Linked DNA regions of Lepisosteus oculatus. The protein of the gene in region 1 interacts with the protein of each later gene in a pairwise test. Links are inferred from orthologs where the notes say so. Each region holds a gene or a part of one and is shown in the gene's direction. Other genes may lie near its edges. The genes, in order: get3, gpx7 and unm_hu7910.

Region 1 (3,755 bases):
ATTCCGAATAAATGTGATGTTATCTTACTGTGTTGAAAAAAAATTAAAAAAACCAATGAATGAAAAAATGCTAGAAGTATTACTTCTGGTTCTGGATGTAAATACGATGTTTATAAAACGGAAATTAATTTCTTCCCGTAAAATGCTCTTTATATTGAGGTATCATCGGTTAAACTTTCACTTGATAAATTGTGTTCACGCTTAGTTTATTAACAGAGATCTAATGGGGGGGATAATGCATGTCTCTTCATATAAGAAATCCAAAAAGAAATGAACAGAAGAGCTCTATTCTTAAACATTTTCCTCTAGGGGACAGAAGATAAGACGTTTATCTTATCCTAAGAAGTCGGCCATAGAAAGCCAATCTGAACAGGTTTAACACGGAAACTGGGTGTAATATCTAAATCAGCAGAGGTTCGACTGTGTTATAAATCCATGGCAGATGTACACTAGTGCCTATATTATTCCAGAAACAAAATGGCCACCTGTTTACTATCGGGGGACGCATTCGTTGTGTCAAAAACCACAGTCATCCATTCTGTACATTAGGTTGCTAGTTGTGTATTAATCTGAGTAGTATCAGCTTCTACAACAGGGCTCGAAAGCGTTATTTTTCACTATCAGTACCCTTTGTGTAGAGAAATTTCTCCTTTTTCAGTTTTAATATAATTTTCTTTTTTTTCTGTTGTTTCTGTCTCACTGTTAATTGTGATCTATACTTACTAATTTTGAATTATTATATATATACAGTATATTCATAATGATTTCTGGAATATTCCCACCCTATCTTCACCCTTTCTATTGAAAAGTGGTATATACCGTGACGCACAAAAGGAAACACGACGTAGACATTTGGCCTCCATGTTGGCTCCGCTACCAGAGAATCTGTGATTAGTCGCCTAACTAATCGGGGCTTTGTCGATGAGCCAAAATGGCGCCCATAGCTGCTTCCTGATCGTCCGTCCACCCACCCACCCCTACCTACTATAACATTTGGTAGGCGCCAGTACCCTGACTGACCCGGTTTCAAGATGGCAGCGGCAATGGAAGAGGAATTTGAAGATGCACCTGATGTTGAACCGCTAGAACCGACGCTGAAAAACATTATCGAGCAGAAGTCGCTGAAATGGATATTTGTTGGAGGCAAAGGCGGCGTAGGCAAAACAACTTGCAGGTACGTCAAAATGGCCGAGTCCATTCAAAATCCAAACCGCCTGCGCCGTCTTGCTGTGTTCCGTACTGTTACTACGATACTGTAGTTTTATTAGTTTTTTCCTTCCTTCCTTCGCATGTGAACTTGTAACCTGAAACGCAAACCGACGAGAGCAGAGTTTCATCCCTGTTAACGTGAACTGCAGCGCCTTGATTGTGTCGTCGCTGTCAGGGCGACCTGGATGTATGATTTACAACTGTCAGTTTTGCAGCGCCGTGAATGAAGCACCTTAGATAACCTGGGCCGTTTTTTCTCGGCTGCAAATGATTGGAAAGATCGAACCTGCTCGAAAATGTGCAGTCAAGTTATTTAAAATGAATTAGCCCAATTCCACTGACTTGTCAACCTGCAACATGAAGTGGTCTTGTTGTTATTTAGCAAGCGTAAGCTATGAATTAGTATTTTTCTAACAAAACAACTCACGCAATACAGATAAATGTATGACTGTAATCTGTCCAGGATCTGCGGGGTTCGTTATATTATAATACAAATATATTTTATTGGCTGTACGCAATGACAACAATTAGCTGCGCATAAGATTTCATGGTCAGCACACGCGTTACCTTGCTAGAGCACTGTATGATTTTGGGATACAGGGGTTCGGGGAGCAGAGTAGAGTAGAATTCCGATTCCGGGACTTGTTCTGTCTGAAGGCGTACGAGCCGTGATGAAGCAATTGACAATGAAACACCTGCTCTCCAATCACAAAACAAGTTTTTAATACAGTATTAATTCTAGAATAGGTTTTCACAAGCCTCCATTTATTTTAGAAAAGGGGGCAATTTGAAGTATCAGTGAGCACATCTGCTTAAAGTTAGGTAAGCACTACTGCTAAGAGAGCAGGAAATGAACTCAAAGTGAGTTCATTTTGCTAGCTAATGTGTTACCCAATTGTTTTGGTGTCTTGTTTTGTTAAGTCAAAGGCGGCAGCCGTAGAGAAAGATACAGATGATCAGCTAGAACTAAAACATGTGCTCTAATGCAGAGATTCAGCTTTTTTGCCTTATCATATATCAAATGTAGAGAGTGCACAGCTGATCTGAAAAGAAAGTAATATATTAAGTTCTTTTACTAGAAAAGTTCTTTTTTGGGTGACTGGTTTTTCTGAAGACATTTTCTGCATCAGCAGTAACGAAGTGCTGTTTCACGCTCTGAGCTGTGGGGCGAAGCATTCTTCTGCCTCGTTGATCACTTCACACACATGTTTTTAAGGAGTTCCTTTCAATTTCTGCAGAAATGAGATTGATTTAACCATTTAACAATGATTAAATAACGTTGTGCTTATGCTTAAGAGAGACTGATCAGTTGCCTCTCCTTTGTATAAAGGAGGCCTTGTTCACAGATTGCTTGTAAAAACTAGAGAACAGAACAGTGTGTTTACTTCTAGCATGCAGGCAGTTAACCTTCCGGTTGCTGACCCAAAACCTTAGTAGCGCAAAGTCTTGAAAACACGCTGTATTTATCATGTGAGAATACCAGCATGATGGGTTTTACTTAATCACGCAAAACCAGGAATTTGAAACACTGTAGAAAATCTTTGCTTCCTGTGTCTCGAAGCACATTGCTGACTGAGTCTGTGACTCAAGTAAACAGGCTGGGCTTGCCAACATGACATCTAAAGATATGTAAAGTTACCAAGAACCGCTTCTGTTACCACTGGTGTGAGAAAGGAGGCCTTCAGCCCACCGTGCTTGTTTGGTGGCTGTAGGTTTATTGGTTTTGGGATCTTAACCAGGTTTGTCTTTAAGGATCCCAGTGATCCCAGGGAGTCCCCTTCAACTATATGGATGTCCCAGGCACCCATCACTTTTTGTGTAAAGTGTCTTTTTTTTTCCCTCACAGGCACTTTCTTCATCACGTTTCATTATAATGTACAGGAATGACTTTACCTGACTTTATCAGGATTTGCAATGTTTGTCAAGACCCCCTATAATCTCCTTTTTCCTTTAACCACCTTGTGTGCAATGATCTTGTTAGACCCGGAATTATTTCCATGAGCTGTTCTTTGGACTCTGGCCTGTTCAATTGATAAGTGATGCAGTACATCCTTCAAGAGCTGAAGTCTGCAGAACCTGATCTTAGAGAGCCACAGCGTCTTCGGGCCCACAATTTAAATCTCTCTCAGCTTTGAGCAGTTTAATTGGATGCATTATTAGCTTCACTAGTACAGCTGATCTCAGCTTCGAGATTTTGGTTCATTAGAAAATATGAAACTGCTGCAACAATTGCAGTACTGTGGCTCTCCTCAATGGGTTACAGGTTTCTCTTCTAGGAGCTGAAATTAAACAGTAAGCAGAAATGCTGATGATTTTTAATCTTTGAACCCCTAAGAAGGCACAAGTGGGTGCTGAGTGGAAATGCATGTAAAACTGAGAACGGGAGCATTTTTACACAGAGGGTAGTGGGAGTGTGGAACAAGCTACCCAGCCATGTTATTGAAGCCAATATGCTGGCTACTTTCAATTAGTCTGAATCAGATCAATGAGCTATTAAAAAAGTGAATGATCTAGATGGGCATAAAGGTTACAAAAGAGGAGGCCGT
Region 2 (3,755 bases), on another chromosome or scaffold:
CCTTCTTCAGGTGACAGGGACAGTAGCAAAGTACAGTAGGAGATAAATAAGGCACAGGGCAGAAGACAGAGTAGGTAGCAATGGGCAGGGACCACTGAGGAAATGGGAATATACAGGTGAGAATGGGTGTCCCAACTCTGGGAGCGTTCCTAACCACGTGGGTTTGGATATTCTTTCTCTTTTTGGACTGAATTCGGGTTTTGAGTTATTTGTCGATCTACGGTAACATTAATAGTGTTCAAATGGCAGAGGAGTCTGGAAAAGGGTGGACTGAAAATGAATGCAGAAAAATCTGAAATAATGGTAATGGAGAAAAGAGGAGATACTATGACCAATGTTGAGGAGACAAATGGAGGAAAACTGAAACAAGTTGATGACTTTAAATACCTTGGATCAAAACTGGTAAAGGGAGGAGAAACACTGGAGGCAGTAAAACAAAGAGTGAAAGCTGGATGGAACAAGTGGAGAGAAATAACTGGAATAATCTGTGACAGGAAAATTCCCAGAAAGTTAAAGTGCAAAATGTACAAGACTATGATTAGACCTGTACTACTATATGGAGCTGAATGCTTGGCAGTTGGAAAGAGGGAAGAGAACTTGATGAGAAGAACTGAAATGAGGATGTTGAGATGGATTCTGCAGATTTCAATGAAGGATAAGATCAGAAATGAATAAATCCGTAGACGATGTAGGGTGGTGGATGTGGTTGAGAAGATGCGAGAGGCGAGGTTACGGTGGTATGGACATATCATGAGGAGGGACGTTGAGGAAGTAACAAAGAGGGTAATGGAATTTGAGGTGGAAGGTAACAGAGGAAGAGGCAGGCCTAGAAAGAGATGGATAGATTGTGTGAGAAAAGATATGGAGGTATGTGAAGTGAGTGAGGAAGATGTGCTCGACAGAGACAAATGGAGAAGAGCAACCAAAGCAGCTGACCCCAGGACAGTCTGGGACTAAGGCTGTGAAAAAGAAGAAGAAGAGACGGTAACATTAATGAAATTACTAATAACTTCTTCCCTTTTTTAAAACAAAAACCAATATTAAGACCAGAAGGGGTTAACTGTAATTTACGATACGCACGTGCTTTACGGCAATGAGATGTGACGTCGAGAAAACCTCTGTCTGAAATCAGAGTTCTGGGGTTGAATTACTTCAGGATCTATCCAGTAAAAGTATTACGTTTCGCTCACCAGAATTGTTATAGTTACATCTTTCACAATGCTTTTAATCTTGTTTACATTGCTCTTAGTTGTTTCTAGCTTTTTAGAGGCAAAGCAGAAAGATTTTTATACTTTTAAAGTAGTGAACATCAGGGGAAAGTTAGTATCCTTGGAGAAATACAGAGGTTCGGTAAGTGCAATGCAAACGTAGATGCTCAGACGTGTGCGAGAAATAGTGACATGCATCCAACATGGTTATTAGTAGTTTGTTTTGCATGAATACAATTAAATTCTAACATGCATGTTTTGAAAGATGTTGTATGCCATTTCTGTGCTTTGGTCTTTATCTCTTAAAATAAAATACTAACCACAATCTGTCTGGAGTTCTGAGTGCCTGTCGTCTGTATACGTGGCAAGTAGTCTGTCTGCAAAACCCAAATTTTGACACGCATACGCGACAGTTTGCATGGCAAATATAAAGTAGAGGGTTAAAGTTTTTATGGTGTGGTAATTCAAGGAACATACCTTTTACTAGATACCTAGTAATAAAATGTGCGATTTACCAGAATTACATTTTTAATTTATATCGTAACAGCGCTTGTTGTGCTTTTATTACCAAAAGACTAGTTTTGTTATAAATCGTCGTCTTTTATACATTTTGTATAATCGGCCTTGTAGAATGTAGACCTTTAATTTATTGTATTACTGCAGAGTTATGGGATCTTCATCAGTTAAATGCTTATTATTCAATTTTCTTGTGTTACTTTTGGATTATGTGTAATAAACTTGCACATATAGGCATGATGCTTCATCTTAAATTAACTATCTAATGCACACTTCTGTTATTCTAATAAAATCACTTAATAAGTGAATGCCTTAATTTACTAACTTTTAAGTAATTTGAGTAGTATATATAAAGTCATAAGTGTCTAACCATATTAGGAGATACAAAAATGTATTTAAGGGTAACAGCACTCCATGTAGCTTGTGTACTATGGCATTTAAATCTTTAAATAGAATCAGAAATAGAATGAAATACTTGTATCACCAGGGGGAGCCATTGATTCACATTTGAATCACCGTAGTCCGTGTACTGAGATTAAATCCTCCAGAATGGAGCTCATAAATAACAACAATAACTGTTGAGAAATATGAGATACACTAGTTAATACAATTACACCACACTAAAAACTAATAAAAAATGTAATGATTCTAATATAGTTCAGGTGGGTAGCTGCGTCAGCATGCGTAGGCTGCAAAGAAACAAAAAAAGATTTATTCCATGCTGAAAAGAGAAGAAAGAAAACACAACATTTCGGCTGTTGAGTCTTCTTCGGGTGTGAGGGTGATTGTAATATATATGGCTTTGTATAAAGAAAGTCTTATCTACCAGCTGCTGAAATTTACGTAATACAGAATTTAGCAGATCACTTGTGTTCGCTGATGGTTCTTACTTGCTTTTATACAACCAGGTGAGCTAAAGAAATGCAGGTAAACTATTTTGCTTTAGGGAACAACGGAGGTGACCATAGCAGGAACAAAGACCAAGATCTTGCAGTCATGAGATCAGTGATTTAATCATAACTTCATACATTCCCTAATACAACTGTTTAGATGGGTAAAAAAAGTGGATCTCCTGGAAAAACAGCAGGGATAGTCCTGTAACTGGTGAATCACACCTCTGTGACAATTAAAGCAGGCCTTTTTTTAAGGGTAGACATCACATTTGAAGTGAATAAGTGACCATACCTTTTTAATGACCAGATATTTTAGTATAATTCTGCAGAACATAAGTGTTTAATACTGTAGATGGTTTAAGGTTTTATCACATGCAGTTCCATATTAAAATACTTTCTTTAAAGTCGTATTTAGGTAACAGTGTCAATGCTTTTGTCATTGGCTGTGAGTGAAGAAAAAATACATTGAGCTATCATCATCAGTTTTCCAAAGGTAAATAGGAATGTAAGGCAGAATGCCTGGATCACCTATCCCCACTCTACTGTACATTGAAAGGGACATCTCCCATTAAGCCAAGACTAGCCACACTGCCTTCTGTCTGCTGTAGACTAGTTCTGCCTTTGAGGTAGTATTAAAACATTAGAGACAGTAACTTCTGAATATATGGAGTACTTTCCAAAAATTCCAGCCCAGCCCCTTAAAGTCACAAAATTATGCATCTGCATTTTTTTTAAAAACGTGAGTTCTTTGTACAAAACCTGAATGCTTATACAGAAGCATTCAACAAAAGTCATTTGTCAAGAAAAACTAAAGAAACAAAAAAACAAGACTCAACTTTTGGTAAAAGCATCTTCAGTAATAGTTAGAACTGCAAATGTTTCTGGGTAGGTACTAACTTTGCACACCGGCATGGTGCAATTTTTACCTGTTCTTTTTGGCAGATTGGCCCAAATTCTCTCTCAGCCAAAGTAAAAAAGGTGCATTTTTGACTAGTTTAAGGTCTGAAGCAGATCATTTGCCGATACTTTGCTCTATTTATGTTATCAGCATTCTCGAGACGCTTCCCAGTTCTAGTTGAGGAGAAGCCGAACTATAACATACTGCTACCACCACCATGCTCGACTGTAGGGATGGTTT
Region 3 (3,755 bases), on another chromosome or scaffold:
CGGCATTAAAGAGCCGTTTCTATTCTGAAAGAACCTTAATTCCCGTCTGCATCTTCACCAACTCCGTCTCACTACAGTATTTACAAAATAAGTGAGAATTAATCACTGACGCTTTCATTGCATTGCTATGCTTTAATAAACTGTACAGCACCTGAGAAAAGATATCTGCCTTTCCGGTCAGTTTATACATAATACCGTGGAGAACAATATAAATCGGAAAACAGGAGTTGGAAGTAGTTTCACTAGTCCACTAATTCATATCTTGAGTGTCTGCTGCACAGTCGATTTAAAACTTTCAAAATCGACCCAAACATAAGACTGTATTTAGCAAAAATAATTATTTCTACCACAAAATGAGTCAACACGATTAAGTCCATCTAGCCCAATGGATGATCCCATTTCGAAACGTGAGTGCCTGGAGTAAACGACTCGGACTGCAGCATTACAAAATCTGAAGTACGCTCACGGAAAGCATCGTTCTGAGAATTAAATTACTGTTAAAAAAAAGAAGTAACAAAATATCAGATGGGGCTGCACATTGGTGGTGGTGGAGGGGAGTCCTCATTACCTGTATAACGCTTTTAGTGGAGCGTCCAGAAAAGCGCTATATAAGTGTAAGCAATAATAATTATTATTATTAGCTCAAGTGGTCAAGTGGCACGCCACCGGAAGTGCACATGAACAATTCTTTTCAGGACATATTCAAACACAGACGTTTTTCTTCTTCTAATGTGGGATACACCAACTTTATCACGGTCCTAAACAAAGTCCGGATGAGAGGAAACCATCTTCCTCCAGCCTGCGTTCTCGCATCACGTCTCTCTCATAAGCAACCTAACGAAGCTCTCGCGAGGAAACGTCTCTTCCATGTTGCCACGTTCCCAGTGCTGGCAAAAGAAAAAATGGTGGGAAAAAACACTACAAGGCGGATCTAACCTGCGGCAATCCACACGCTTCAGTAGAGCAACCGCCTCTTCCGCGATTGGATTCGGGCGTCGGTCTCTCCGCCTCCGAAAAGATTTAGCCAGCTTTCGGTTGGAGGGGCGTGGAGTCACTCAAAAAAAGTAAACGGGTTGCGGTAGGGGCATAGGGATTTGATTTTTTTTTTCTTCCCTGGGATTCACTGGGGGCAGTGATCGAGGAAGTTAGGGAGACTGAGCGTGCAACTTAGGGTTTATCTCAGAGACGGAAAACAGTTTTTAATTGCCATGGCCACCAAGAAAAATGCAAAGGGACACACGCCAAAAAAAGGTCAGTGTTTTTAATATGGTCTTTCTTCGGGTTACGTGCAACCTTCTGTACCGGTGCAGAAGGCCTATTACATTAATCGGGTCGATACATATTTTGTATTCGCTCATGCATGCGGAAACGTTCGAGATAATCCGAAGCAGAATGAGCGAGGTCTGATGTCCCCCCTCCCCCCGGGGTAATACTGAATGCGTCGTTTAAATTCGCGATAAAGATATCATTTGAAGGTAACTGCAACAGCACACGCCGTAATGTGTGGTGCTAGTCAGGGTAGTTTTGTTATGTATTATTTACGCTCCTTGCAGTATTCATTCTAAAAGCCAGTGCCAGTTGCCTCGCTTGTGTTTGGAAACTAAAAATATTAGTTTTTTTTTTTACTTTTATCTCACATTTTACATTGTAACCAACCTCATCTAAAACGCCAACAAGAGTTAAACATGAGGCATGGAAGTAAAATTTTTTGCAGGTAGTGGATGTTATCCCCTCTCCTGATCCAAAAGGCTTTTTGATTTTAAAAAAAGAAAAGGCTGAGAAATTGTGGCGTGCACTTTCAGCCCAAGTAAAAGTGGAACCCTTGTGCGAGAACAAATTGCGTTACATAAGGTAGCTGGGGCGGACTCGGCGGAGAGGCGTCCTGGTTTTGATTAGAGTCAGTTGCCCGGGGGGCCACGAATTGTCTCTTCAAAAGATCCGCCCAGCAGGATGAAAGCTGCTCGGCATTTCTTTCGCGTTTGCTGTCGCTTTTCCTGAATGCTCACGTGTCACACAAAAGAGGGGGACGATGGGAGGGGGGTTACACGTGGCTACTATCGCAGTTCAAACGGAGGACCCCCGACAGGCGGGGAAGGGGGGGGGGTGAGATTTCAATTATCCAAATCCACACCTACGATTTCCCGCTTCCAGGGTTGGAGGAACAGTGACCAGATGCCGTTTTACGTTCTCGCATCCGTGTGCACACGTGTGTTTTGCATTCCCTTGCTACAAAGTTCACCTCGCAGGCCTGCCAAGTTTGCCGGATCTGGCATGTGGAGAGCGGACGTGTAGGGCCCTGCTAGATGGGGCTAGATTATTGGTTGATTTAATACTCCAGCCTTAAATGCACATAAGACACCTTCAGAAGTTAAATTTAATAAGAGCCATGAAAGGTTCACCAGACGTTCATATATCATATGTAGTCCTTTTAGCATCTTTTATTTTTTGGGGAGTTCATTTATAGCTCGCCCTCATCTTGGAAATTACTTGAGACTTGTTTTAAGACGGGAAGATCTACGAGCTACAGCTTACAAAAATGCACCAGGGATCTCCAGTCACCCTAATTGTTTAGATCACCATAAATTTGAGGATTGGAAACAGAATATAAGGGCAAACTATGCAGCCATTCAGTGCATCCTGGTCGTTTGGCCACGACCCCCTGGCTAGAAAACCTGTTCTAGATACAGCTATGTGTGGAAAGAAGCATTTCCTGTTCCTTGTACCAAATTAGTTTCCTTTTAGTTTCCAGTGTCCTTGTGTCCTTGATTTGCGAGTATCCTTGGCTGACCTCATCTATACCTGAATCAAATCTCCTGTGTCCCTCTATTGTGACTGGAGAGATGTAGCCCCTTTAACCTGGACTCATCCTGTTTTTTGTCTTCTTTGACCTCTGTCTAAAGCTCTGTCTCTGTGGTATGGTAACTACACTGAATGATATTATAATGGAGGTCTTCCTACTACTTTCTTTAACGCTTGAGTATAATTTTCCTGAATCTAAAATAAACACTTTCATATTAAATCATCCGCCTTTTACTTGTGTGTTATTGATCGATTAAGGCCAGTTCAACTAGGAGAGCTGTTGTCCCTCTGCAGATTGCTTCCTTTAACAGGTCATTTGCAGTTGATCACATGCAAATGTTTTTCCAAGTGTTTAGAAATTGGTAATTTGTTATGTTAAAAACTCTAATCCAGGTTTTATAGAAACAGGGTTGGATATGCTGGAAGAAGTCTCTGAAGTGTATTCACAAGTATTTGTATGTGGTGCTTCACTGAAAGTATTGATTTGGTGAATGTGTCACAATATGTTCAGGCCATCATAAATTGTTAGTCTTAATGTTTCTCATAAAATCTTAATGATCAGTGACATTAATATTTTAGTCGATGGAATTGTATGTAGCCATAGTTATACTAAATTGGGTATTTCCTCGGAGTCAGAAATGTCTTGTTCATTTATGCCCTTGGTCATCATTGATCCAGTGGCACTGCTTGATGCATATGGGCGTTACCCCATTGTCTTGGTCGAAGTCCACTGTAGGCCTGGACAATCTTGATTATTTAAATTGGTGAAGCAATTCCCCTAAGGGGAACATCCTAAGCTGCTACTGTGTAGTAGGGCTTCTGCCATACATCAGCTAAGTTACTGGTAGATAAACTGAGTTCCATTTGTAAAGTGCTTTGGGATCATCTGGGGTGAAAAGTACTGCATGAATTGCGTTGAAAATGTTTGGGACCATCGATGAATTAAATTGCTTACC

The links.
Region 2: the proteins of get3 (region 1) and gpx7 interact in binary tests that used the Homo sapiens proteins (3 or more experiments, as listed by UniProt). The two-hybrid records come from large-scale screens. The link is inferred for Lepisosteus oculatus from reciprocal best matches to the Homo sapiens genes GET3 and GPX7.
Region 3: the proteins of get3 (region 1) and unm_hu7910 interact in binary tests that used the Homo sapiens proteins (3 or more experiments, as listed by UniProt). The two-hybrid records come from large-scale screens. The link is inferred for Lepisosteus oculatus from reciprocal best matches to the Homo sapiens genes GET3 and ASPH.

The regions. Positions count from the first base shown.
Region 1 is NC_090706.1:16,860,084-16,863,838, reverse strand, and holds the start of get3 (ATPase GET3), read left to right. Parts: upstream 1-931; 5' UTR 932-1,031; coding exon 1,032-1,174; intron 1,175-3,755.
Region 2 is NC_090704.1:14,935,735-14,939,489, forward strand, and holds the start of gpx7 (glutathione peroxidase 7), read left to right. Parts: upstream 1-1,115; 5' UTR 1,116-1,218; coding exon 1,219-1,350; intron 1,351-3,755. UniProt on the Homo sapiens protein: It protects esophageal epithelia from hydrogen peroxide-induced oxidative stress. It suppresses acidic bile acid-induced reactive oxygen species (ROS) and protects against oxidative DNA damage and double-strand breaks.
Region 3 is NC_090701.1:50,419,946-50,423,700, reverse strand, and holds the start of unm_hu7910 (aspartyl/asparaginyl beta-hydroxylase), read left to right. Parts: upstream 1-879; 5' UTR 880-1,208; coding exon 1,209-1,251; intron 1,252-3,755.